Mytilus edulis: one gene and its partners. The protein of the gene in region 2 purifies or fractionates together with the protein of the main gene of each other region. This does not show direct contact. Links are inferred from orthologs where the notes say so. Each region holds a gene or a part of one and is shown on either strand. Other genes may lie near its edges. The genes, in order: DNA replication complex GINS protein PSF2-like, zygotic DNA replication licensing factor mcm3-like and cell division control protein 45 homolog.

Region 1 (7,966 bases), on a different chromosome or scaffold from region 2:
GTGACCGACGATCTAAAACTAAAAGTACGATTTATATTTTTTTGACATCAGAAAAACAACCGATGGGAATTTGATTATAAACGATCATTTCAATCGGCAATCGGTTCTTAATGAATACGCTGACTTCAATTGCCAGTTACACAACAGTAAGAAGCAGTATTCAGCACATGTCATCCCCCATTCCCATTCTCAGTTAAATGTTTCTCTCATTGCATGTAAACTAGCAACCTGCCCGAAACAAAAATAATTAAAAGTAGGAAATACAGGCCAAGTCACCAATATATAACAGAAAACTTTACATATATATTCTCAATTCTGAATAAATTTAGATTTAGCTTCATCACTAAATCAACTTTCAATTAACAGCTGATAATTTCATAGTGAATGGAAATACTCTCAGAGCCCTTCAAAACTCCATAGATGTTAGGCATGTCTAGTTGCATTGACACACTGAGATGCTGGCCTACAATTAAATGCCAGCATACAAAATGTGCCAAATAACCAAACAAATCAGAAAAGAACTTCCTTATCTTAACTTAGAATTATATGCAAAAAGAACAACAAAATGTGCCACATAACCAGCAAATGACTCAAAAGAACAATTTATATTACCATTATCAATACCAAATTTATCTGATCAGAAATTTAACTTTTAAGCAGATTGGATATTGTTTCTGATGATACCTGTACCCAAAAAGACATTTACAGAAATTCAAACAGATCCCTTGGGAAAAGCTAAAGGGTATTGGGAATAACAAATTCTAAATTCATAAATATATTAGAGGTATTACAGTAACAACAGTCTTGCATCACATTTGGAACAAGTACAGTCATGTATGTAATTAGTCCGAGATTACTCTGACGTCAAACGGCTGTTTTTCCAGACAAGCTAGGATGGAATATTTGTCCGTCCTAATGAATGCACTGCTAATTGGCTTCTGGAGGAGAATGACCGCCTTAGATCTATATAAATTGATCAATTTGTTCTTTGTGTACCTGCCACCCTTTACTTTCTCATATTTGGACGGTTTTCACAGTGACTGATCGATTTTAGCTATTTAACTTTCATACTTCTACTTTGTTATGACCACCTTCAACATGATGAAGTTTAGGTTACTTTTACTTGGGGGTTCTGATCCCGGATTCTGCTCACTGTTTTGTCATATTCCTGTATCCAGCTCACACTATGTACATAAGCAATTCTCATTCTTTTGTAATTTCCCTATATCTGGCTAGACTTCATTTCCCTTTTTCACAGGGGTACCACGATTTCCCGAGAAATACAAGAACAACGTAATTTCCCCAAAACAAACTGATACATGTATATCCTGAAAACAAGATTTTTTATGCTTATATCTTGAATGCAAATTCCTTGTTGAAAACAATATGTCGTATATCATATTTTGCATACAACACATACAAATCAAGTTCTTAAAGTGAAATTGCACTTTTAGTGAGTAACAAATATCTTTACTATTTTTTAATATTGTTAAAAGTAGCATAACACTATAAGAAAAAAGCATAATACCATATAACAAAGGCACTGGCTACGGTTACATGGAAATGTAACAATAATAAAAATATTATTGTTACATTGGAGACTAAATGCCGGAATGCATGGTTGGGTAAGGACCTGTTTAATTACGAATGTAACAATAATTATTGAGGCTACGGTTACATGAAAAAAAGCAATGTACGATGGGACTAGTAATATGTTCTAAATAATAAAAGTTGAGGACATTTATAACATACAATTTATTTACTGTAATTCGTTATAATTTACAATGACCATTTCTACAAATCCAGTAAGTTGTTTTTAAAGTCCGACACATTTTTGATGAACGAAATTACGTCCTCCACGGATACGTGTACATACAGAATTTCTTAGTATTTAAGTTACAGTTAACAAACTTTGCTTTTGATTATCAATTTGCGTCAAGTTATAAAGCTGTATGAAATGTATGTCTTGATATTGTTTCATTTTCGTTTAAAACGCATCCCAAGTTTTATTTTTTTCACCATAAACAAAATTTGGTCCAAAGTATAATGACAGTAATAAGAGTAGGTGTGCAGTTAAATACTTTAAAAAAGTGAAACCATTGAACTATATTTTTCGCCTTTGAAGTCACACTCCTAATCTTGAGTAGTATCTTTAAGAACACCAAAACCATTAATACGTAGTAAAACTATTCAAGTTGTACACTATTTGTTGAATAATAATATTCTATTATTTATCAGTATTAAATTACAAGTATTGTTTAGTACATATGAAAGAATGAAGCAATACAACTATAGAATATTTAAGTTTGATCAATCTAGCGTACATTGCTGTTTTTCATGTAACAATAACGTAATGTAACCGTAGCCTCAGTAGTTATTGTTACATTTGTAATTAATCGGTTCCTCACCCAACTTTGCATTCCGGCAATTAGTCTCCAATGTAACAATAATATTTTTATTATTGTTACATTTCCATGTAACCGTAGCCAGTGCCTATAACAAATCTTTGTTACATGTATCTGTATATATCAGTTTGTTTTGGGGATATTATAAAGGTTTTTGTATTTCTCGGGAAATCTTGGTACTGTTTTCACAGCACAATTATTACATGTCTTGATAAGAAAAATAACGGCAATCCAGCATCACGTTTAGATCCCAATGAGACCCACTTTATACTATAGTACATTGCTTTGAGATTTTTAGGAATATTTTAGTTAGTCTGTTAGACTGTAGAGATGACTTTGACATGTCTTAAGTATTTTTGTAAGTCCAGCTGGGCCTGTGGTTAAGTGTGAAGACTGGTAACCAAACATAGACTTATGCATTATGGAATAATTATGGCACCAAATAAATGCCTTCAAATTATGCTATAACAAAAATGTCATGCATAAGAAGAGCGTTCTTATTGTGTTATTACTAACACCAATCAGGTATATCTTATCCTGTGTAAAGTTGGGGACAACAGATATTTCCTCTTTTTCAGCAAGAAATTCCACTTCAGCCGGATCCATTCAAGATTTTCGCGGGAGTTACGGTCAAGGTGACGTGAATCGGCGTTGTTCGAATGAATTTGCAGCTAAGGGAAAAGCCCTTCTGTATGTACTATAGTACAAACGCTTTTATGAGACAGACTGTGCAATCGGGCAGTATGGCTGTCCTTCTGCTGTCCCGAAAAGCAGGACTTGCAAAACAAGTAGCAAAAGGAGTAAAGGTCTTTTAAATTATTCATTGCCCTTGCATTCAACGTTTTTGTGACATTTTTCTATTAATTCTTGAGAGTCAGACCTCTGACATTGGCTTGAGTAAATAGGAAATTGACATCCTTGTCAATCTGTTTTTTTGACAGTTAATGAGTTATACGTTCGTATAATTTTGCTTGATCTCTTATCCTTGTCGCTTAAGTAACACGAAGAGGTAGTTACATGTGAAAGCATATGAAGTATGTAAAGATAGCATTTACACAGATTATGACTTTATGAGTTAAAGGACAAAAGTCGAAAAGAGACCTTGCAACCTAAATTCCCCCATATGAGGCAGGTGCTCCCAAGGTTATTGGTTTTTAAGAGGCTTTTATGTCAATAAGGCCATAAGTTGAATAGGCCCTATTATAAAAACGCAGTGGCAATTTTGCGGGCTCTGACAAAATAGCCTCTATGGGGCTATTTAAGTATTTTACTTGCTCCGACAATATAGCCTCCTTGACGCTAATTTGTGGCTCCGGCAAAACAGTGATCATGATAATATGGACAAATATAAACCTTTTTTTTTCTTATTTTGTCGGTCTTAAGATTAATAAGAAGTATATACACAGTGTTGCAGCTAGCATGAAATGGAGGGGCGCTGCGCCCCGCCACCGAAATTATGCGCCCTTCGCCTTTTTTAAGCGCCCCTGCGCCCCTCTGTGCCCTTTTGAAAAAAAGTTTAAAAAACGATATTTTTTCATCATATCGTCGCCATTTTGTTGAGTTCTTTATACACACACTTCATTAAGACAACAGATTAAAATTGTTGACACTTGTTACCTGTATATAATCACCTATTTGATTGGAGTCAATTACTTAATCAGGTGAAATTTACGACCCTGTCTAATCCCTTTGCCCTGAAGCACCAAACATCAAAGTTAAATGAATTGATTATTTTAACACCTGACGATGCAAAATAGAATGTATAAAATAAATGTGAACGGTGTTCATTTCTACTGTACTTGTTATTTATAAAATAACGTTCATTTAAAAAGAATCATTCCAATAGGTCAACACGCAAAATGCCGACGAAAAAAAGAAAAATTGACCAACTCGGAAATGACAAGAAGAAAATATCAAAGACTTGCCAGTCTATTACATCTTTTTTCAAGAATAATGACCATCAAAAGTAAAAAAAAATTTAATTCTTTAACTTTATGAAAAATCGAGAAGAAGAAAGGTTTCTATCAAATATCGCAATTGTTCTTCTATTGTAAATTCCGCCGATTACAGAGCACTCGAAAGTCCGATTTTTATATCATTTTTTCTTAAATTGAAGTCCGTTTTGACTAACTTTAATATTGATATAATTAAATACGCTCAACATGAAGTAAACGGAGATGCTTGTTGAATTGATAATACACTTACAAAATTGAAATAATTTATTATTGTGCCGATTACGGAGCTCTCGAAAGTCCGATTTTTGTATCAATTTTCTTATTGAAATCACAGGCACTTGTTTCTATCCATTGGAAGACCCCCATCAACGTATATTTCCGTAAATATACGTTGATAGGGGGTCTTCCAATATGAATAGAAACAAGTGCCTGTGATTGAAATCCGTTTTGACAAACTTATTGATTTTATAAGATACGCTCAACATGAAATATACGGAGATGCTTGTTGAATTGAACAGACAACAGTGAAACAATGTATGGTTATACAGAGATAGAAACTCTCCTTATTCAATAACAGGACTTTATAGCTCTTGTATCATCAGCAGAACTTACAGATCATTCCTTATCTAGTCTGCTAGAGCTATTTCATTCACCTTGTCATTAGGATAAAAACCTTTTATCTTTATGTACCCTCTTGTTGCAAAACTATTCAGTGTTGCAATATGACATGTACAACCACTCAGTACAGCAGAGGTGGAGAAAATATTCTCTCAGGTCAAATTGATAAAGACAAGTCACAGGGCAAACTTGAAAACACAGACATTAACAAAAATATTAACTGTAAAATTAAACTGTGATGAAACTAATGTGTGACAACCTTCTTCAAAAAGAAAAACAGAAGATTTGTCATTGTTGTTTAATATTTATTTGCATTTGAACTCTTCTTTGAAAAAATCTGTAGTTCTGAAAGAGAAATGAATATAGTAATGTCTATTATTGCTATCAGTTTGATTTTAACTTATATGTTCTAAATAAATGATTTTTAAACTTGTATATAATAGCTATTTAACTAAGCTACATGCTTGCTAAAAATATGTCTTTATGTGGTAATATTAAGTATTTGATTTTTTCAGTGAGAACGCGTTAAAGTGCCCTTTTTAAAAACACGCCCCTCTATTTTCAAATCCTAGCTGGAACACTGTATACATGTAGATTAAGAAAGAAACATGCACTTATTAAAATTAGAAATCTTTCAGCAAATAAGTCTTCTCCTAAATATTTTAATAATATAAGCGCATATTAAATTCGATATTCTTTAATTTAATAAGAACTCTCTAAAACATTGTAAAACATGTTTTAAAACATTTTTAAAAGTATACATATTAAAATTGATACTAGTATTCTTTTATTAAAATTTGCTTTGATGAAAATACTGCATGTATTTGCCTTAAACATTTCAGATTTAAAAGAAAAAACAAGAAAGTTAATTGTTTTTAACAGCTTGCCCCCTTGATCTTACTTTATTTTGCATTGTGTATATAAGAAAAACACAATGTGGGCTGGAATATAATATTCCTATACGGTCAGTGCAGTAGAACAGCGGGTGATTGTGATAGCGCTGAAAAGCGCAGCACTAAAACGGCCTGGGGAGAACACTGCTGACCCCATCCCATGTCTATCTGTGATATTGGTTACAAAGGCTAATAAATGAGGCCATACTTATTGTATTGCTTCAAAAAAGGTAGAGAAATTGCAAATCCTTTTTATATGAATTCTTATAGCTTTTCTTACTAAAAGAAGACTATATGATGGTCCCTTAAAGAAGTCATTAGACTTTGGATGGCCACAACCCTAGCACATGTAACAGTAAATTTGGTCCAGTACCGTAATAAAAAATTTCAGCCAGATTTTTCTTCCAAGGTAATCAAGTCTATGACCATAATTTTATTAGGAATGTGTGTCTAGCAATTATATTCCTAAGAAAAGTTTTATTTGTCCATATTATCATGATCATGTTTTTTCTATGAAAAAGGTCCCGCTTTATACAATACTAAAAAGCACTTTTACAACCAGACTGACAAAGACTATTTTATTTTGCACCTTAGGTTACTTGAACAAACATAAACATTCTAAAATATAAAATTTTATTTTATTTACAGTGTTTACTGAATCATGAATTCACCATATGTTCTTCAAAAGCACAAAGACATTACCATCTCAAGACATGCCAACACATACAATGGCGTACAATTTCTACAACTAGATGTGTAGGAAATGATAAGCTAGCTGAGACGTCTGATCCAAAGAATGAAGTTGTAACTGCACCTGTTCTAGAAGTAGAAGAGGAGGAAGATTTGTACAAGTAATTTCTAATTAAATGTTTGCTACAGATTTGATTTATTTTGTATTAAGTTTTAATTCCTTATTGACTATTGTGTTGACACAGAGTAAAATGCAGGATATTTACAAAAAGAAATGCTAGATTCTGTAATACACAAATGTACTTTAAAATTTGTTAGTTAATACCAGCTTTTGCAGTATCTTTCAAATCAATAATTGGTCCAACATCTACCTCAGCAAATGTCAGTACATATGTATTTTTTCTGGTATTTAAAAAAAGGATTGATGAAACCACTTATGACATACAAAACTTTTTCCGGAAACGAAAGTTCTACATTGACCAGTCAGGGGACCTAATGAAATAAGTGATTTTTAAATCACTTATTTGAGTATCAAATTCGAAGTTTTGTCACAAATTGTGATTTTGTAGTTTTACCAAAATTTTTCAACACATCTATAATACTAAAATTACGAGGTCCAATTTGTCAGCCGTCATCACATAAAAACGACGAATCACAGAATTCAACTTTATATATAACTAATATAGTACAAAGGTGTAGATTAAAAATTACACCACTCCAGGCCCTTTTGTTTTCCACGTAATTAATATTGCCAATAATGAAGAAGTTCCGGGTCGAGTCCGCTACCGATACCAATAGTATATTTACCTGTTACTTATTACAGTATCTGTACGTTCCGCATCTGACAGGCGCACCACCAAACGTTGTATTCAGGATTAATATGCTATATACACGGGTCATAACCACAGGGTTGACACTACTAAATTGTCAAATTGTTACCTATTGTAGTATTTTAATCAGTTAGACTTTCTAAGATAACAATACGAATACTAAAAATCTGGACTAAAAATAAGGCGTATAGGTACAGTTTTCAATTTGTTAGTGGGCATGACGTAAAACAGTGAGGCAAAGAATTCAACTTTACTTATAACTTATATAGGACAATGCTGTTGATTAAAAAATACTCCATTCCAGGACCTTTTGTTTTCCAAATAATTAATATTACCAATAATTGATAAGTTCCAGTTCCACGGGTTCAAACAGAGACTTGAAAGCAGAGAAAAACTGTGTATCTTATAATCGGCATGACTTTAACAGATGACAATACTAATACTAAAATAAGGCTTGCGCATAGTTATATACTTTAATTCAATCACGGACCCGTGATATCACGGGTGTGTTCTAGTAGGTTTAAAAAATATCTTTTCATTAGTAAAATTGAAAAAAATGATTTTTTTGCTTCTTT
Region 2 (7,407 bases):
ATGGTCGATGTAGTGTTACCATTCCAGAATGGTCGATGTAGTGTTACCATTCCAGAATGGTGGATGTAGTGTAGTGTTACCATTCCAGAATGGTCAATGTAGTGTTACCATTCCAGAATGGTCGATGTAGTGTTACCATTCCAGAATGGTAAATGTAGTGTTAATTATCATTTAATTGATCTTTCAAAAGTATCCTTAGATTGACTATTCCAGAATGGTAACACAACATTGATAATTATAAAATGACAACAATAATTTAACTTTTCCAGAATGGTAACAGCACATTGACCATTACATAAACAAGTTTGAAAACCACAATGCTTGAGTGTTGTAACCATACATACATGATCACAGTGTTGTGACCATACATACATGATCACGGGTTTAATCACACATACATAACATGATCACAGTGGTGTGACCATACATACATGATCACAGGTGTGTAACCATACATACATAATCACAGTGTTGTGACAAATAAATACATGATCACGGGTTTAACCACACATACATAACATGATCACAGTGGTGTGACTATACATACATAATCACAAAATAGTTTTTGGCCAATGGAAAGCCTTTTTTTAAGAAGAAAACTAATGACAACACTGGAGTAACATCCCATGGTCTAAACCTTTCCATTTTCTAGAATTCTTAATAAACTCTTAATTTAAATAATTTAATGTTACAGGTATCCTTATTAATCAGTCCACCACTAAGGGTCACTTATACATGGTCCCTCAAAATATGACGTCATAGAAAAAAACTGTTGATTGCACCCTAAGAAGTGTAAGGTGTTAAGCAATAATCATAAATCCTTTTTGAGATACGGCGGTACATGTGAGAACCCTCGCCCCCCCCCCTCTTTTCTTTTTTTACAAAAACTCAATAACTCAAAAATAAAATTTTGAATTGTAACCAAAAAGTATACAGATCTTTAGATTAATATAACTAAGAAATGTTTTAGCGATAATCATAAATGGCTATTGAGATACGGCGTGACATGTGAAAAAAACACCCCCTTTTTCAGTTACAAAGTCCCGTAATTTTTATTTTCACCAAAAAGTATACAGATCGTTTGACCATCATAAAAAACAACTATATTAGGTTTCATGCAATTTGTATAAGTCGTTCTCAGGTTACGGTGTGACATGATTACGCCGGACAGACAGATGGACAGACAGACTGACAGATGGTAATTTGTATACCATAATAAATGTAAGTCCCGTCATAGTTTTGACCGGCATATGAAAACAAACACGTCAGAATTGCCATAACATTCAAGTTACTCCAAAAATTAAACCTGCATTTATTTTGTTGATATTTTAATACCTGGCCTAGCTATAGATGCTTTTTTGTGATAATATACATGTACATGGTTCTTTTTCCTGGTTTCGTGAAACTACTATTGCACATTCGAATACCGGTAACAAGTAAGAATATACCGATCTTCTTATGGGACTTTCTTTGTAGTGTTGTTTATATCCTTCCAGATGAACTAGTTACATTGCAGGTTGTGAGTCGGAGTTTTTGTTTTGAACAACTTTTATTTTTCTTAATTGTCAAATTGAGCAAGAGACAACCCGACCAAAGAACAGACAGCAGCCGAAGGCCACTTATGGGTTTTCAATGCAGCGATAAACTCCTGCACCCGGATGCGTGCCTCAGCTGGCTCCTTAACAAAAATATATAGTGATTGTTTTACTTGAACATTTGTAATGTCATTTTTTCTTGTATACTTACAGGTCGATTTTTTATTTTGCCTTTAATAGAGATACTCTAGGGGTATCCCTCGATCTCATCTTCGCTAGCCAAGGGTTACGATCCACTCCCGCTCTCTTCACCCTTGGCGGATTGAGATAAAATTTCGGAGACACAGGGTAAGGATTTTTATTGGTTGCAGTCGAAACTTGCTGCATCCAATCAAAAAGCGCCTTTAACATGATCACCTGTAAATGTGGAAAGTGTTTGTAAACAATTGCCACGTGTTTATTGTGCTACAAGTCTTTACATCCCTAAAAATACGACTATATTTAGTGACAACTTGAATGTTTTTAATCAACTAATAGAAGTTCCTGTGTATGTTTCATGCACAAATGCATGAATGTTGACGTATATTTTCGTTTCCGGCTTTACCAAGTGTGTAGAATCTGGACACTACCGTCTTTTTACCTTCGAATTGAAGAGTTCAAGTGCTACCATTGGTCAAGAATAATGTATTTGGAATGGGCGTGACTTAAATCTTCCGGCAGGTGGCGAAACATTGTTTTCACAAATGTTGGCTCAATCCGCCAAGGGTGGATCGTAACCCTTGGCTAGCGAAGATGCCCTCGATCTAAGTTGCAAAATTCCTGAATTTGTGTTTATTTCAAATACAATATAGAGATCTATATAATAGGACAAACAATATACAATCAATGGGGCGTCGGACTAATGGGGTGTCGGACAAATGGGGAGTCGGACCAGTGGGGTGTCGGACCAATGGGGTGTCGGACTAGTGGGGTGTCGGACCAATGGCGTGTCGGACTAACGGGGTGTTGGAACATCGAGGCTGCCCCTTATTTAGACTATAATTAACTTCTATTGCATGCTTTGTCCATTGATCATGACAGATGTCTTTCAGTTTCAGTCCGAGTTTGAGTGATCTACTGAAGTAAATAACTCGTTCACCGATGAAAGGAATCAAACGATTCATGGTTTTTGTATCCTTTTACTGATATTACTGAGTGATGTCTGATGTCAGTGATAATCAATGAAAAGTAAAATGCTGAACTAAATATTAGTCAGTGATTGACAAATAATAAGTTATTTTTCAGGAAAGTTACAGCATCGTTTTTTAATATACTTACTCCATCATCAAGGAAATCAAGATATTCTCTCTGTATTTCTATTATTCGCTGATCTATTTCTGCTGCCATTTTCCTCGACAATGTTATTTTCCTAGGTTCTTGTTTCTTTGTGGAGGTAATGCTGTAATTTCCCGCCGTTCATGTCACATGGGAGTTATTTTTAGTATATTTATTCCACGTGGTTTCCGTTCGTAACTTCTCTATCTTTTTGTGAAACTGAAAGTAGATTTTTCTGTCTTTCTTTTAAAAATCGTTGGAAAATGTAATGTCTGATCGTTGCAGAATCAAAATATATTTACAGAACCAAAATGTATTTGTATGGAGTGCTAAAGGTATTGAAATAACATCGTGAAAAGTGAAATTAAAAAAAAAACCCACCAAAACACCATAGGCATAGGTGCCAAAAAAGTATAAATTATTTTGTAGTCTTGCACTATAAAATAATGGTATACAAATCCTTGCTATAATTAAATTGAAAGTAAGGACTGGAACCAATAAATCTATCATGCATTAGAACTCAGCTATTAAGATTGCAGAGGAAATATGTAAAATTCCAAGAAGATAAGCCAAAAGTGAACAAGACACCAACACAACAAAAACAACAAAAACAAGGCAAACTTTTCATGTTTGTTTCCCCCCAAATGAGTCTCTAACGCCTCTAGAAGTATGGGGCATTTCATTTATACAAATTTTGCTGTTGGCAATAACAAGTTTGGAAAAGAAATACCACTATATTAGCTGCGGAACCGTAGCTCTTAGGTCCTTATGTTATTTTTCGACTATTTGCGGACATGCGGAACCATAGCTTCCGCAGCTACCACTATATCAGCTAGTCTATATCTTTTCTGGTTGAGTCTTAGTCCAAATAATAATGAGGGGGGGATAGGGGGTCTGTTAACATGTTAACAAATTACCTCAATTTTGGCAAAAACAGTTAACAAAAATTGCAAAAATGCTGATAACAGTTAACAAAGTGGGTTGAAAACAGTTAACAGCTTAAATTGATCTCAGATAACAGTTAACAACACCTTTAAAAGTGCCATAACACGTTAACACAAAAAGGTATTTCCCAAAATATTTTATAGATTCTTGTACATCACAGCTTGACCTCCAAAACTGTGTCTCAGATTTCCAAAATCATCAATAGAACAAATTTTATATCCAATTGAATTTAGTGATCTCTTATGAATTGATGTTGCAAACTTCATTGAAGATTTATGAGAGAATGAAATACAATAGGAAAAATCTGAGACATAGTTTTGGAGGTCAAACTGTGTTGTGCAAGAATCTATAAAATATTTTGGGATGCAATATAACAAAGAAGCTAAATTCATTCAAGTATGGACATCACAATATAGCAACTAATTACATAACAATTAATTATGTACGGTAATAATTATGTCATAATGAAATTATCACAATTTGAAAGATTAATCATTCTTCTTTCTTTTGGTACCTCATTTATAAAATTTAAAGAAGGATCAGGGGTTAAAAATTTTTGTTACAGCTAACTAGCCCAGGACTTATTGGCAGCAGGATTTTACTAGCTCTGTTGGAAGAACTGCTAGTCCATCAAAACTGACCTGCTAGCCCTAGTATGCCTTAAAAATCAAGAGTTTGCTGCAAAATACAAAGTGGGTGTCCTTTGTTTTGAAGGAGACATTATACACTGTATTTAATCATTTTTGTTGATCTGTTGTTTATTCTTTTGGTGCTTAACCTAACTCAGTTGTTCCCATATTCAAAGCAGACTTTTTTTTTGCATGTTTGGCGCAACTAACGGCAATATTCACAGAGCATTGTCTGTCTTTTCATCAGCAACAGCCAACCTTGCCAGGGGAATCATTGTGTCCCAGTTCTGCCAACTTTTCAGGAAGTGAATGCGTGATTTTTTGGCCAAATTGTAAAGATGAAAGAGAAAAAACAATAGTTCAAAGGAAAATGCCGCCAAATAAGCATGAACATGTTTGAGTCTCGCGCTAAAGACTTGGCAGCCCTTCTGTCCTGGACACCATTAATTTTTTTCCGCGGCTTTTCCCTGTCGTATTTAGCATTTTTGTGGGATGAATTTTCAGCCTCGTTACTCCTTTCATCTACCGTTTTTCGTTTTGAAACTGACGAAGTTCCTTGGGTTCCCGTACTAAAATATTAAGAAATATTTTGTTGCATGGTTTCGTGCTCAAGAGCTGTGCAACAAAACAGGTCAATACCAATCAATACATCATACCCCCAAATACCGTTAATTGAAAATATCGGCACGATAAGCAATGTACAATACCCCAAGCCATGGTATGAGAAATCGATATTTAAAGTACGAGAATTGCGATCAACACATGATACCAGGCCACCCAGACATGCCAGAGTTATTTGTTCTATTTTTAAAATATGTACAACAGGACCTGTACAAACCAGTTCAATTCTTGGAATCCCAGAGGATTTAATTTAATCGAATTGGCTAACAGAGAATAGTGATGAAGGGATTTTTTTTTTATTTTGGAAACGTCAAGAAGTATTTTTTTACTAGTCCGTCGGGCATATCAGATTACACATTTTAATTGCCCGAGGTGTAAATGATCTAGTCCCGGGCGTCGGGCTAGTGGATTTTTTAACCCCTGAAGGATGAGTGGAATTACATCAGTTTAAAGATGTCTGATTGCAGGGATGATTCCAGGTGTTTTTAAATGGGTCCCTTGAATATCAAATTGGGAATTTTTATCCCAATTGGGATTTTTTTATGCATACAATCTAAGACGAAATAATATCATTTTCCTGTAAAAACGGAAAATGAATATTAAGTTAATTTCACCTGTATACTGATTGAAGAAATTATTGGATTCAGACTAGGGAAGTTGTAATACATGAATATCATTGCATATGATGCACTATCATCTTAACTTTGGTAAACGAGGCCTATTACAAAAACATATATACCACAACTCGAGTACCAGCTGACATAAACCTATGGCAAGCCGTTTAGCTATTTATTCGAATTTCAAATTATCTCATAATATATAAGATATCTTATGTAATATATAAGATATCTCATATAATATATAAGATATATTGAAGATATCTTGAAGTATATGAAATATCTTACAAATATGTTTTGTATAAGATATCTTCATGATCTTATATAATTTGGATATCATATTAAGAAAATCATATGAAATATCGTATAATTTATATACGATATCTTTAATAATATAGAAGATATCAAATATCGATTTTAAAATATATATCTTACATATACATTATATAAGATATCTTACAAATATACTTTATATAAGATATCTTACAAATATACTTTATATAAGATATCTTACAAATTTACTTTATATAAGATATCTTATATAGTTTATAAGATATCTAATATAATTTATAAGATATCTGATAAAGAAAATTATATGAGATATCTTATAAACTATAAGATATCTCATAAATTATTTAAGATATATCGTGAACTATATAAGATATCTTATAAACTTTATAAGATATATTTCAAACTATATCAAATATCTGATGAACTATTATATAAGATATCTGATAAAGTTTATGAGATATCTTGAAATTAGATTAAATAGCAAAACGGCTTGCCATATTAACCACTGAAATAAATCACCCATTGGGTAATTTTTCAACAGATCATCTTTATAAACTTACCTTGATTTAAATGTACTATTTCAAATAGAACTGGCCAACTGTCGAATTTAGAAAAGCAATTACAAAAGTATATATATTTAATTGATAAGATATTTAAAGCAATTGAACCAGTGAACTTTAAAATTATTTGGATTATTTACATATCTTTTGCAACAGTTCCAAAATGATGACATCGTATTTCAGGGGGGTCTCATTTCACGAATGGTCTATCATCAACAATATTTTCAAAAACGCTCAAACTTTTGTCTTTTGCGGAAAAAAGAGCAAAATATAAAAAAAAATCTTTTACAAAACAAGTTTTAACCACATTACATAACCGGCTCTTCTGGGTAATCTGCTTTTACCATTAAAATTCATTCATCAATGTTCTATCAAAATTTGAATTTGCTCTTTGCCAAGGTCTGTTTTGACACCCATTTTGACAAAAAGCATATTTTTGATCAACGTGCTGAGCAATCTACTTTTACGAAACCAAATTCTCCCATAACATTTTAACTTCAATTGAATCCGGCCGCCAAAATTGTTTACCTAATGTTGACATAATTAAATTAAATCGTTGTTAATAAAATGCGATCATAGTCAGCATTCTTATCCGGATTTTACAACATTTTGACGACAAATTATGAAAAATTATAGTTGCCGTAATCGGTGAATTACCGATTTTTGTTTTATTTTCCTGAATTGGGAATTAATATTTACAAACAATTTTTGGGGGCCGCTGGCCAATTTAAGGGCCGTTAAGCGGCCCTAAACTATATAGTGGAATCATCCCTGGATTGGGGATGAAAAATATTTGTATTGTGCTAATTGTTGACACTTCCTCACTAAAAGTACCAGAAACAATTATGATTGAACAACAACAGTATCATGAATATCTATTCTTGGAAACTGTAAT
Region 3 (7,143 bases), on a different chromosome or scaffold from region 2:
AGATACAATATCATAAGTATTTAACTTCTTATAGTATAATTTTAAATATGAGATATGTGGCTAAATGGTCTAGGCTTACATCGTTCATACAATATCCACCTTTTCTACCTGGATTAACAAAATCCTCACATTTTACTGAATTTAGATTTTTTTGAATCAAATTCAACAAATAACATACATATATTGACCAAACAATCATCTAAGAGGTACATTATAAAAAAATATTATTGCCGGAGTACAAATGTCTTTTTCTTGTTGTTTGTACATCTGTTTTCTCAGAGGAATCATTGCTGCTACATTGTGTCCTGTATAGAGTTATTTATTTTATACTCTTTCTCTTTAATATTGTTTTTATTTGTTTCAAAAACTGTGAGTCAGCATTAATTTGATTTTCACACTTCTTGCAAATAAGTGGTTTGCTCTAGGTTTTGTGTTTTTGAACATTTTCCAACAATAGAATGAACAATATCCAATTGTTTTAATTAATGAAAAGTGGCATTACAGTACACAGGTATACACCATCAAGCAAACAATTACAGTAACTGTGTATTAATTAATAAATGATATCCTACCTGAAGTATTTTACAGGCACATAGAGCATCAATATCAAAGGCAACTAAAACAAGCACTCTCTGAAAATAAAACAATAAACATTATAAGTTTTTGAACCTTTTAAAGTTCTATAAATAAATAAAGAAAAAAAATATATTCTGGACACGCTTATTGTAGAGACCATTAATGTCATATGCAATATGATGCAGGGTTGTCAAAAGGTGGTTGGTAGGTCAGGGTTGTTACCTCAACAAGTAACTTTTATATTTATTGTTCTACATGTTTCAGTCACTGTCATCACCGATTCAGGATAAAAACAATACAGTTGTGCCTGAAGCAGCTGGCCTGAAGTACAATATCGTGTATGCATAATTTACATCACAATGTTTCCATGGCATGCTGCATAGTGAGTATAACCAGAAAGTAAAAGAATACATGTAGCTGACAACATTTTCTGAGAATGTAGATTGATTACAGGAAGGGCATGAAATATTTAAGTTACAGGTAATAGTAGTAGCTCTGGATGTGCTGCTTTGTTGGTTCTGGAGCTGACTGACATCCCATGATCCATATAAATGGTGCCTCAACTTGTCATTTTTCATATTTCTTTTTATTTTCAAATGGACCTCATCTCATGGAGGCCTTGCAGCACCCAGACTTAAAGTATGCAAATTGTAATGCTGATTTCAGCCTTGAACCTTCCTAGCCAACCATGATAATAATCAGAACACACTCAGCCTTTCAACATTTTTGTGTAGTAAATAAACAAGGTGTTAGATTATATGTTCAATATTATTGACCGGAGCCATTTGAATAAATCAGCTCTCAAAATGCATTGCACTACTTTTTCTCGTTGGTCACATGATTGACAATCTTTCAAAGTGAACGTAAAAATGCCAAAATCTATGGGTCACTGTGAAAACTATTAGTATGAGAAATTAAAGGGTGGCAATTAGATGAAAAAACATACATTAAACGAAAAAAAAATAAAAAAACAAACAGATTGAGACCCGATCCAAGAACATCAAGAAGCAACAAAGCAGTGCATTTGGATGGTCATTTATCCAATTTTGATATGGGACAAGCTCTGATGTCTCATGGCCCCAGTTTGTCTGGCAAAACAGCTGTTGTACATCTGAGCAACTTCACACTACAGGTATTTTTGTAAGGAAATACAAATTGAGATCAATATAAAACACAGCACCCAAGCATACATCATTGTGTCCCAAGGATGATATGGCGGTATGGACATCATGGAAATGTGGCCTTCGCGTCTTGAGAGCCCACAGACATTATCTACATCTACGACATAGCGTCACTCGAAAAGGGTACTTCGACCCATCACTCAAGTATAGTTTAACTTTTGACGTCTTCCAACATGACAATAAACTTTCTATATTTACATAGTTCCAAAATTGTGCTTATAATTTATATACAGGTGTAGGTTAAACAGTTAAAAACATTTTCTACTAGTATCTATTGTTTGTGTTGCTAGCCACTACAGAGGAGCTTGGTGAGTTTGATCTTGAATTCCTCACTGGTCTCCATCTCTTAAAAACACACGATCCCGGAGTCCCGATAAAGGTCCTATCCCGCCTCATTAATGACAAGACATTATTTTGCCTTACAGTTACTGAGTTCATAGACATTGACTGATATAGTAAGAGCAGATTTAAGGTTCATTATAACCTTTTGGCTAAAATGGCCGTTTTTACACCCCAAATTTTACTCTGAGTACAGACTAACCTATACACCTGCAACAGTTTTAAGGGATGGCAGGAACTAGATATATAAATTTTAAATGCATTTTATGTTTCAGAAAATTATAAACTTTTCTAGAATTTGCTATCCATTTTTTTTTCGTTCCTGCAGAAGGTGCAAAAATTAACTAAGTAGTGAAAACGATTGAGAAGCTCCCCTCATATAATCAATGTTGTGAGTAGTATTGATTTAAATGGACAATAGATGGACAATAGACACCTGTAAACAATAGGTGATTTAACAGGTTTAAACTGTGTAACTGAGTGGACCGTATCAAATGAAACTCGGGTGTTTGTTTATTTTGCTATCTTCTGCAGACTGGAAAAAAATGAACATCAAAATCCAGGTAAGTTTTTAATTTTCTGAAACGTAGACTTCATATAACTTTTATATATCTAGTTCCTGCCATGCCTTAAAACTTTCCTGGATGTACCAGTTTGTCTGTACTCATAGTAATTTTGGAGGTGTAAACACGGCCATATTTTTCAATTCCTTATGATGAACCTTAATACTGAATTGAACGATTTTAATTTGAAGGATTGAGTTTGAATGTTTAGTGTCTTGTCTACCTGATGTAAGATCTCGTCATAAAAGCCCTTTCTGAGGTCTTTTATAAACATTTTCAACAATAAAGTAATTTTTCACATTTTAGATTGTGGCGGGGGTTTACACCGGAAGTAAGACAAATTGTTGTCATTTGTAACAATAACTTTCGTTGGTAGAATTTTCAATACGAAAGTAGAAATTGGCCAATCATAACCTAGTTAAGAAAAGTCTATTTTTAGCCCCAAAAGCTGAATCAGTTTTGCGTTTTTCAGGAAAAGAATATACTAAGACTTATTGACAACATAATTCACACTGGTTATTTACTTTCGATTTATTTCCTACTGAGTCATTTTGTTGAATTTAGAATATTACACGGTTAAATCCAAAGAAAAACCAAACAATACAAAAATGGTAATGAAAACATCAAACTACATACATAAGTTGATAGTTAAAAAAATACAGCAAATTCATATAATAATTAGATTAAGTAATATGAGACAGGCATTACCAGTGAATGGGGACGAAGTTTATACGATTTTTTTCATTCAAACATGTTAAAAAGAGAAACGGAAATACCGTAACATTTCTGATTTTGGTTCTGCTGTTAGGGATTTTAGTTGTGACGTTATTTAAGTTATGACGTCACATTCAATTTAAACAAAGAAACTCTGTCGTCAGGTAATGTTTTTTTCATAACAAACAATTTTAAAAAGTCTGACGATTTTGAGTTCATTAGTAGAATGAAAATTTCTGGAAATTTTACCTGATTTTTTTTGGGGGGGGGGGGGGGGGGATTTTTCTTCTGTAATAGGGGACTTCGTCTCCATGTAAATCTTTAAATTGTTTAAAACAAAATTAGATATATCATTGTGTGATGTGTTTTCATTCTAATAACAATTTTCACTGCTGATGGTTTTCACTGTTGAGTTTTAATTCAGGTGTTTACTCAAATTTAAAACGCATGACTTGTAGATTGATTTTAGGTATCTATATTTTTTGACAAGGCTTACTAAGATTTTTTACTGTTTCCAATTACTCTGCGATTTTTGTATGTCTAAAAAACGCCGTCATATGTTTTCGTATGAACATGATGAAATAAAAATTGGATCAGTACATAAACAGGAAATGACTATATAAAATCCGGAAATCAGTATTTTCTTTTAAAAGTCGTAGTTCTGGTGATTGCTTGAATCATGAAAAAGGTTATTTAATACTTTTCAGTACTAAAAATTACTAGCAAATAGTTTTAGATTGGTGTTTCTTGTGCTGAAATTGTTAGATTTTGATTAATTTCAGATTGGCACCTGGTTTGTACTTGTAAAATACATGATTTAAAAAAAAAATAAAATGCAGTTTTCAAAATTTAGGATTAAATATAAAAAGTTAAGACTGTTTTCATCTTCATGTATCAAGGATGTATAAAAAGAATTGTCAATAAAATATTGAAAAAAATAATTTTGAACAGCCATTTTATATATAAGAACCATGATAACCTTAACTCCCTGGTTTGTAATAAATTACCAAAAAACCACATGACAGTCACATGTCTTGAACACCGTGTATCATCAGTCCAGCGGATAAAGGTACTAACCAAGCGGGCATGATCGATTTTGACCTCATGCGGTAACGAAAATCTTTGTTTTGTTCACATAATATCAATTTGTACTTCAATCTAAACATAATAGTTGTTTCAAGAAATGATTTGGTCATAGGTTGATGATATTAGAGATGTCTCATTATTTTTGCCAAAGCAAGAATAATTACAAAAAACATGTGCAAATACTTGTCAAAGAAGTTGGCACTCGTCTCATCCGATATAATTCTATTTCCAATGCAACTCTTTTTCTGATAGAAGGCCATTGTGTGTCTGCAATATTAAGTGTTTCAATAATTGGCATTGAAATCTTTCATGCATACTTTTTTTTCGATATTTTATTCCGAAATGAAGCGTTGTGTACAGTGTTTAGCTGACCACATGAATCCTTCTGTACGATGCATCTATATAGTTAAGTTGCTGTACACCGTACACAAAAACTAAATTTTCATACTCGTTTATTACCCAAACATTTTCAAGGAATGAGTAATCACAGGTAGGTTTAATATTGGTAACTATTACTTTTGCCCTGTATAAGCTTTCTTTCAGATAAAACATGTAAATGTCTCGACAATTGTATCGAAATTGAAAGTTGGTGGTGACACTCACAACTATTTGCGCATTTACAAGTTGATTGTTCTTATTAAAATATCAAAGTTGTCTTATAAATAGAAAAAAATCGATGCAAAAATTATTTTGGAGCAGGAATTTCAGATGTTGAGAAATTTTGTACACTGAATGTTGATAAAACAATTCAAAGATTTTCGTTACCATGTCAGTTCAAAATTGATCATGCCCGCTTGGTTAGTACCTATATAGGCTGTACGATGATACATGGTGTTGAAGATCTGATGTGGGACAGGCAGACAATATGGCTATAATTCATGTAATCCCTCAGAATTTTTCTGAACAACTATTCTATTATGATCCGTATTATTGACATTAAATAAGAATGACTGAACAGGCAAGTTTAATTTAATTAGTTCTTACGTTTTTAAAAGCGACTTTGAATTTGTCACACATTTGTCATGTTGAAGTGTGGTTGTTGTTCCAAATATAGAAACCGAAAAACACGCCACAATGTACGTGTATGCCGTCTAAACCCACGAAATGTGGTTGATACCAAAACATATGACATACGAAAACATATGACATATAGTTGAAAAACCTTTAAACATTTATAGGACAACAGTAGCATGAGTAGCACTGTCATGACAGTGGAAACATTCCAAGATTTTGACATACTGCCAATATACAAAAGATTTTTTAATATTACAAATAAAAAATGATATAATGCCAGATACAATAGAAGACTTTTGAATTCATGCATTTTCCCGTAATTGTTTTATGTGTCACAGTAAGAAATGATCGTTTATGCTGATTGACCACAGTTCAACCGTTGTAACTCTTTCATAAAAAAACCAACTCAAGACTGGTGAATCATGTGAATGTAGACAGCCATGACAGATAGAGTGTAATGCATGTAAATTAATTATTATTCATCGAATCGATAGAGAAACTGATTCAAAATTTGGCTAACAGAAAATTAAACTAAAAAATAAAATGAAAAAAAAAACCAAGACCATGATTAACAAAATAGAAAATTATTAATATGGATTAATTTGACAATTTAGAATACACATGATACATAGACATGTATAAAAGATGGTAATATCAGACATAATGTATTGTATTATTAACAGATAATTCATATAATTTTTTTATTTTCCAGTTTGGTAGATTTGGAGGTAACATATTTGGGCCTGAGCTGGGTGGAGGTCTGGGTGGATTTAAACAGACATATAGATGTTATTCTGTGACCATGTTAGATAACAGAGAAGACGTTGAGAGAGGTGGAAAAAGTAAGATAAACAAATATAATTATACTTACAGATTATCTCCCTTTATTTGGGTGACAAGATCTACGATCTTTGATTTATATATAATAAAAAACTTTCAATAAGCAAAATATCTTTCCTTGTGTAGTTTGGTCAGGCCAGAGAAAGCAGTTATTTTGCAGTTCATTTCTTTTAGACAATAAACACAATTTACAAAAAATTGAACCTGCTCCATTCTAAAAAAGATTTTTTTACAGTGCAGTGTACTTCTTTTTGGGACAAATTTTAAATTTATACAGACAAAATTATCAAAACCTGTTACCTAAAATGAGAATAATTTTATAATAAGGGGATCTATAATTCAGATTGTTAGCTTCAGATATACTATAGTTTTAACACCAAAGAACTTTTTCACTCTTGAAACAAAATGCATGACTCACAATGTTTTGACACATAGTTTCATTCACCTATTTGATATTCAATGTATTAATAATATAAAAGAAGGAGTATTTATGAAAAAAGTTATGGACTATTTGTGGACAAAAAAAATCAAATAATGATAACTGTAACGGTAACTGTGTCCCCAGACCATATACTGAGGAATCAGAAATATTGCCTAGAAGTTTTTTCATTTTTGAAACATTCATATCAAATATCACTAATAATTCTTGAACAATAGTTTATGACATTGAATTTATGTTCCTCAATTGACAATTATTATATTGCATTAGATCTGGATGGAATGAATTTAAGGAGATCTATCTATAGTATATGACAGTGACATAGCAACCTAGCACAAATCATCAAATAAATATAGATTCTATCACTGCATCGAGTGTGATACGATATTTA

Evidence for each region.
Region 1: the proteins of zygotic DNA replication licensing factor mcm3-like (region 2) and DNA replication complex GINS protein PSF2-like purify together in Drosophila melanogaster (affinity purification with western blotting; 3 studies listed by BioGRID, with this or other methods). This does not show direct contact. The link is inferred for Mytilus edulis from reciprocal best matches to the Drosophila melanogaster genes Mcm3 and Psf2.
Region 3: the proteins of zygotic DNA replication licensing factor mcm3-like (region 2) and cell division control protein 45 homolog purify together in Drosophila melanogaster (affinity purification with western blotting; 5 studies listed by BioGRID, with this or other methods). This does not show direct contact. The link is inferred for Mytilus edulis from reciprocal best matches to the Drosophila melanogaster genes Mcm3 and Cdc45.

What each region holds. Positions count from the first base shown.
Region 1 is NC_092348.1:80,010,963-80,018,928, reverse strand, and holds the start of DNA replication complex GINS protein PSF2-like, read right to left. Parts: upstream 3,070-7,966; 5' UTR 3,012-3,069; coding exon 2,922-3,011; intron 1-2,921. Other genes in the region: transmembrane protein 143-like, read left to right, coding at 3,122-3,211, 6,520-6,722. UniProt on the Drosophila melanogaster protein: The GINS complex plays an essential role in the initiation of DNA replication.
Region 2 is NC_092355.1:48,373,346-48,380,752, forward strand, and holds the start of zygotic DNA replication licensing factor mcm3-like, read right to left. Parts: upstream 3,072-7,407; 5' UTR 2,922-3,071; coding exon 2,853-2,921; intron 1-2,852. Other genes in the region: tRNA-splicing endonuclease subunit Sen34-like, read left to right, coding at 3,118-3,184. UniProt on the Drosophila melanogaster protein: Acts as a component of the Mcm2-7 complex (Mcm complex) (Mcm complex) which is the putative replicative helicase essential for 'once per cell cycle' DNA replication initiation and elongation in eukaryotic cells.
Region 3 is NC_092349.1:77,089,038-77,096,180, forward strand, and holds the start of cell division control protein 45 homolog, read right to left. Parts: upstream 3,020-7,143; 5' UTR 2,934-3,019; coding exon 2,883-2,933; intron 633-2,882; coding exon 573-632; intron 1-572. Other genes in the region: ubiquitin recognition factor in ER-associated degradation protein 1-like, read left to right, coding at 3,268-3,270, 6,186-6,315.